Linked DNA regions of Nothobranchius furzeri. The protein of the gene in region 1 interacts with the protein of each later gene in a pairwise test. Links are inferred from orthologs where the notes say so. Each region holds a gene or a part of one and is shown on either strand. Other genes may lie near its edges.

Evidence for each region.
Region 2: the proteins of retreg3 (region 1) and signal-transducing adaptor protein 1 interact in binary tests that used the Homo sapiens proteins (3 or more experiments, as listed by UniProt). The two-hybrid records come from large-scale screens. The link is inferred for Nothobranchius furzeri from reciprocal best matches to the Homo sapiens genes RETREG3 and STAP1.

What each region holds. Positions count from the first base shown.
Region 1 is NC_091745.1:7,580,475-7,583,363, forward strand, and holds the end of retreg3 (reticulophagy regulator 3), read left to right. Parts: coding exon 1-74; intron 75-637; coding exon 638-717; intron 718-1,124; coding exon 1,125-1,257; intron 1,258-1,334; coding exon 1,335-1,879; 3' UTR 1,880-2,110; downstream 2,111-2,889. UniProt on the Homo sapiens protein: Endoplasmic reticulum (ER)-anchored autophagy regulator which exists in an inactive state under basal conditions but is activated following cellular stress.
Region 2 is NC_091741.1:91,828,591-91,832,675, reverse strand, and holds the end of signal-transducing adaptor protein 1, read left to right. Parts: intron 1-2,569; coding exon 2,570-2,672; intron 2,673-2,742; coding exon 2,743-2,925; intron 2,926-3,010; coding exon 3,011-3,159; 3' UTR 3,160-3,300; downstream 3,301-4,085. UniProt on the Homo sapiens protein: In BCR signaling, appears to function as a docking protein acting downstream of TEC and participates in a positive feedback loop by increasing the activity of TEC.

The DNA.
Region 1 (2,889 bases):
GCTGGAGCCAGCCCTGCAGAGGCTGGACTTCAGCGTTCGTGGATACATGATGTCAAAGCCCATCGACAACCAATGTAAGTCACAGAAACATGTTTAGCCCTGTTATTCATTTTATAATACCAATCAGATCCGTTAGATTTTAGCAGAAACTCGTCGTTTCTCACTTTTAACATTTCAGCAAGAAGTTTTTTTTTCATTTACTGATAGTTGGCAGGCTGTTCTGTTGTAATGGCTGGTTCTTTAGCGCCCTCCGGTGGCCGTAAAAAGATGTTCAGTTTTATTAAACAGATATGTTGTTTTGCTAGAAGAACTTTCCTGTTGCCATTTTGTCTGAGGCACTTTGTTGTTTAATTGCTAGAGTCACATTAGTTTTACTTCTGTTTTTTTTCTGGGTTTATTTCATATAGAAACTGAATGCAACAGCAGTCCAGAGTCTTAAAAGGATGATTTAGTTGTTCATAATTCAAAATCTGATAGGATGTGATGAGAAAAGCTGCTTTTTATTATTGTTTGTTGTTCTATAAATTCAGTGCAACTCCGCAGAGCTTTGTGTGTATTGTTAGTTTGGTTTTGGAACATGTTATAAGGGCCTAAGGGCAATAATGAGTTATTTATCTGCTTCATCTAAACTTTCCAGTCCTGCGAATGCCGATCCGCAGTGCAGCCTCGGGTGAAGCCAGCGACAGTGAGGAGGAGTTGGCTGCTTTCTGCCCAACTGTAAGTTCCTTAAACCTTTATATTCAAGTTGAGTTTTTCTGATTTGTGAACAGAAGCATCTCAACTACAATAGAAACAGCAATAATACGTCTGTTACCCTTTCAGTTTATTCAGTATTTAGCACAACCTAAAGCGCAGCATTGATCTAATACCAAGCGTTTCCTCTACATCTCTTGGTTTGTCCTTTAGCACACCTCTGGTTACAGTAGCACATCAAGCACTTTTCCTGTTGTGGTTGGCTTGCCACTGCTTTTTTGTTTATGCTGAAGTCTGTGAGAGCAAACAGGGAGGACATAAAACCGAAAGCATTTCTTATGGTAGAGGGAAATAGAAAAGAAGCGTAAAGATTTTTTACTTTTGTCTAACACAGGAAATTAAAAATATGTTACTCTTTTTTTGTCTTCCAGTTTGATGATGCTGTTGTTGCAAAAGAACTTGCCTTGACCGACTCTGAACACTCCGATGCCGAGGTGTCCTACACTGATAACGGGACATTCAACCTGTCGCGAGGTCAGACCCCGCTCACAGAGGGCTCTGAAGGTGAGGCTCCTGCTTTTTGTTGCTTGATCTTCTTTTTTGATCTCTCCTCTGACGTCTTTCTGTCTGCATTTGATCAGATCTCGACAGACACAGTGACGCAGAAGAATCTTTTGCCCAAGACCTCCCAGACTTCCCATCCATTAACCCCGATGCCACCCTGATGGATGATGAAGACGACACAAGCATCGGACTGCCCAGTCTGGGTCTGTCTGGACCTGCTAGTCACCGGGCCTCAGTGCTGGATGTTGATGCTCATCTGGACTCGGATCAGGAGGATCTGGACTCAGAACTTTCTCTCGGCGGTCTTCCACCTGTCTCAGATATCAGTGGAGACTTGGCTGGAGTCATTGCCAGCAACATGATTCAGGCAGCGCTGGCGGGCGCAATGCAACCTCGGCCTCCCACCACTCAACGCAGGCAAGGTCACCCTCAGGTCGGGGGCCACCGGAGCTACCGCAAACAGTCCAGCTCTGAGTTTGACACGGACTTGGATGCAGAAGACTTTGAAATGCTGGATCAGTCTGAACTGAACCAGATGGATCCCTTCGGAGGGGGGGGTTCTAGACGGGGTGACAGCCAGGGGTCTAACTTCTTCTCCAGCCTGCTTGGTAAACCACAGTGAAGTGTGTGTGTGTGTTTTGCTGAGGGTGTGCAGTTATGTGGGTAGAGTGTAAAATGATGATTGTGTGTGTGTGTGCGTGCGCGCACGCGCGTGTGTGTGCGTGTGAGGTGATTTTAGGTTCCAGCAGCCCTGCTTCTGGTAGGCATCAGTAAGTCACTGTGAAGTATTTCATTCTCCTCTTTTTAAATCCTTGTTTTATACGTTTGAATTCTTGATGATGGAGTTTTTAGGTTGTAGGCTGAGCAATAGGAAACACAAAAACAAAGTAAACTACATCACACATTTGGGTACACGGCATTGTTCGTACCCAGAACACACAGCTCCGCCCTGTGAAACCTTTTTTTACACAGAGGACTTGACCTTCAGGGCTTTTTATTGTAGGACCAAATGTGACATTCCTGTTGCTTAACCTGAGCCGTCTTTGATGAGTAATGACAGCATGAAGGAGCTTTTAATGTTAAAGTGCATTCAGTCATTGCTGGAGTCGTCGATCCTTCATGAACCAGTTATCAAACCTTTGAGATGGGATTTAGTGGTGGGACGTTTCTGTCCTCTTATGAGAGGGGGGGTTATTTTATGTTGCATGTTTTCAGAGCTTTTAGCTTTTAAACTCTTGTTAGCTGTTGTGTTTTCTAAAATTTCACTGATCTGCATAAAAATTTGAATTGTCAGGATGACTCCGCTGTTTTGTTTTTCTGATTACAGAAGCAAACATCTGTCTTTGGGAGCTTATTTAGTCGGCCACATCAGTCTTACCTGAACCAGCAGAGTACTGTTATATTTGTGCAGTATATTTATGAATGTGTGGAAATAGTGTTGATTATTTTTAGTTTGGCTGTCCCTGCACGAGCTGTCTCTATGACGTGTTTCTCGTTTGTAAAGAAATCCCAGATCAGATCAAATCACTTTAAATTGGATCATTTTTGATGGATTCAACAGCCAGGCTGAACTTTATGGGATCGTCATCAAATTCTCTGTTAGAGCGTATTGTTAAATTGACCCATGTTTAC
Region 2 (4,085 bases), on another chromosome or scaffold:
TCGCACATACGTTGTGCTTCAATTTAAGTGAAAACTAATCATGGCTGTTTCGACCACGCCAGTCACGTACTTTGAGATTGATCAGCTCGTAAACGTTCGTAATTAGCATGACTACAAATCAGACATCAGTACATTGCAGATATGACGATCACCACACAATCTCCTCTCCCCTAGCTTAGCTGCTACTTACTAAATAGCCAGATTTAAGGTGTTTTTTTCCCTCCGGAAGGAAGGATTTTGAAGTTAGTTGAACTTAGACGTTCGAGGACGTCATTTTTTCTCTCTTTTTTTCTCCATGTCTGGTTCGAGGACGTCACTTTCTTGAAGCACATTTGTAGTCCTGGACTTATTTTCGCACAAAACCTAAAGTAACGTTTCCCCCATTCAAAAATAAGCACTTTCTTGGTATCTAATTGCGTCTTTAAAATTCACAGAGATCATATGTGAAAACCATGGCACATAAGCGGAATTAGAAAATTGCGTTTTCAGCCCCTTTGACTTGCATTCATAATTTCGTTCTTCCGGGGACCCATGTAGACCCAGTAGATGGGCGTGACTTGGGCTCCCAATTGACTCACGATGGGGAAGGCTGTTGGTTTAACGTCCAGGAAACAGCAGAGAATGTAGCTAGTAGAAGCTAACTGTTGGCATGAGCAACTCGACCACATGGCAGAACTCCTCCAAGCTTGTGTTATTAACAGAGATAAAACATCAGTGTTGTAAGTCAGTGGTAGAGTCACATTGCTGTCAGCCATTTTGAGGTGAGATGTCCAAATATCAGGAAATACGACTCCAAAACCTGTCGTCTGAAGCTCAGCTGTGATATTGGTCACTGCTAGTTCCTACTTGGAGCTCCACAGGGTACGGTGCTCTCACCCTTTCTCTTCACCTTCTACACCTTGGTCTTCACCTGCAACACCAGCAGCTGTCACCTCCAGAATTTCTCTGATCATTCCCCTCAGACACACAGCCATTGTTGGCTGTGTGTCTGAGGGGAATGATCTGGAGTACAGTTCAGTTGGACTTCGTGGACTGGTGTGAGCATAACCACCTTCGCTTGAACACCAGTAAGACAGAGGAAATGGCGATTGACTTCCAGAGAAACACTCTTCCTCACCAGTAAACATCCAAGGTGCAGACACTGAGGTGGTGGATACCTTTAAGTACCTGGGTGTTCACCTCAACAGCAAATTGAACTGGTCCAACAACACAGATGCTCTGTATAAGAAGGGCCAAAGCCGCCTCCACCTTCTGAGGATGTTGAGGTTTTTCAGAGTTAATTCCCAGCTGCTGAAATCCTTTTATCACTCTGTTGTGGTCTGTTGGGGCGCATGCAGCTCTGACTGAAACAGCAAGACTGAACAAGCTAGTTCACAAAGCTAGCTCGGTTCTGGACTGCCCACTGGATTCAGCTGAGGAGACGTGTGAAAGGAGGATGCTGAGGAAAGTGACCTTCATCTTAAAAATCCCCTCCCACCCACTGCATTCCACTGTGGAGACCATGGACAGCTCCTTCAGATGCCGTCTGAGACATCCCAGATGTAAAACAGAATGCTACCGTAGACCTTTCATCCCCTCTGCAGTAAGAGTGTATAACTCCTCAGTTTAAGCTGTACTGGTATTATCCTGGTACACAATAACACCAATGCAATATCTATTGTGTGTTCAATACTCGTTCAATACCGGATTTACATAGTATGTCTGGATAGTTATAGAAACTAAGTTTTCTGTTATTTTTATTCGTGGCCTTTAGTGGTCGAAGGTTACAATTTTAGACTACTGCCTATGTGTATATACATGTACTTTGTTATTATTTTTTCTTCAAATTATTCTCTCATGTGTTGGTGCTGCTGTAACAAGCAAATTTCCCCAGGAATAGAATAAAGTCTATTCTATTCCTGGAAATGGTCACTGGTGTTTTCCCCCCAAATATGACATACAAGACATTCATTCCTACTAGTGACTACTGCAAATGTGTTAAATGAGTGAACCACTCCTTTAAAAAAAAACACCTGAATAGAGTTCTGTGGCTTATTGAGCTTTGTAATCATTAAACACTTAATGATACATGGAGCTCCTTTCACTACTGGTTAAACATCACATTTCTGCTGAAAATGTCAGAGTGAAAACTGTGTCGAGTAAATATTCCTACTTCCTGTAAAGAGAGACTTCTGTTTTTAAACATATGTGCAGTGAATGTTTTTGTTTTAGAGTTATGGCTTTTAAAACAAATCTCAGATTTAAATGTTACTGTGATCGGTTTTATGGTGATGATCATTGTTATCACCATAAAATGTAGCCGTGGCTTCTCTCTGACAACAACAGGACCCAATTCCATATAATATTGCCGCTTTACAATTTAAGATGGAGGCTGATCATTTTTAATCCAAGGAATTCAGACCAACATTTGTTGGGTCACAAACCAGTTTAGATGATCAGAATGGTAGATAATGACAAAATACAGATTCTTCAGATTTGTCCTTTTTCAGAGCTGTGACATTAGATATTAATACACACTATTAAAGACAACTTTATATTATATGAAAACAAAGTGTGTTCTGATCTTCAGGTGACCGTGCCGTCTCTGAACGATGTGCTGAAGTTCTTCCTGGAGAAGACAGAGTACCGTCTGTGTCCTTATGTGGATTCTCAGCCCTACGACACTCATATCTGTGAGTCTGGACACACAGCTGCTCTAGAGATGATCAGCTTCAGCTGCTGACCGGTGTTTCTGATCCACAGTACCGTCCTCTGCTCCAGAGTGTGTCAGCATCCCCTCTCCATCATCCGTAGCGCCACCCAAAGCACAAGTAGCACCGCTGCTGCGTTCACAGACCAAAGAGAAGCTCCCTCCGCCTCCGCACAAACCTGATGAAGGAGAGTACGTGGTGCCAGATGATTCTCTTGATCACAACAGGAAGTTAGGTGAGTGTCCCTTCATGGTTTGTATGATGAAGCCAGCTTTAATGAATACATTTGTTAAAAAATAATTTGTTTTTGTTCAAACAAGCTCAGCTGGGTAATGAGCTTCGAAAGGCTTTAAAGACGAGGAGAGAAAATATCTACAGCGAATCTGGACAAGATGAAGCTGATGCTTATGAGAATGAGGCTGATCGGAGGGCCAGCTGGACGGTGCAGTGCGGCGGTCCAAAGGCATAAGTCTCATCTTTCTCTGTGAATCTGACTGAGCTCAGCCTCCACAGGCGTTACTGCTGAGGAGCTTCAATGGTGCTGTGAGGTCAAAGGTCAGGGATGAAGGAAATTCTAGCAGATCATTCAATGGCCCTAAAAGTCTCTGTGTGTGTAATCTAAAGACATCTGCTGTTAAAGCAGAGAGAAAAATACACTAAACTTGGTTAATTTAAGGACATTTTGAGGATTCGTTCAGGAACATCCTCTGTTCTCATGTTGGTGTAGATTCTTAGATTCTGGTTTTATTTTTACTTTCACTAGTTGCTTAAGAGAGGGTATATTCAACGTTAATAATTAAAAAACCTAAACTTTTCCAATACATCGTGAAAAACTTTAAACTGAAGATGACCACTTCCTTTCATTACATCTTTGTTTTCCTGCTCTGGATCTTTGTTTCATGCTTTTATTTTGTTTCTTTGAGATTTTTAAACATTTTAATGCTGCTGATTATATTCATGCTCATGTAAAGAGTTGTAGAATATGTTTTATGATGGCAGAAACACTAGTCTTAACTCATTCACTGCCAGCCATTTCCTGATCAGAAAAGCTTTTCGCTGCCCGCGTTTTTCAGTTTTCACTGTTTTTTAAGGAGACAGTTAACGTTCCGCACTAGGATGATGTCATTGTCAAAACTACCAAAACAAAGAGTAGACTCACCTCTTACATCAGGAAGAATCCGCGCATTTAATCTGTTCTTTCATAATTTGTTGTCGAATTGTAATCGGCAGAAGCTTTCCTGGTTCGTGCCTCACTTTTTTTACAGCAGCGGCCCAAAACGATCTCCTAACACATGGATTTTCTGCTTCCTGATCACGTGACGTGTGATGTATGGGGATGAAGATCGGCTTTAGAGCTAAGATGTTTGTTCTCACAATGTGGGGGCCCGTTCCGAC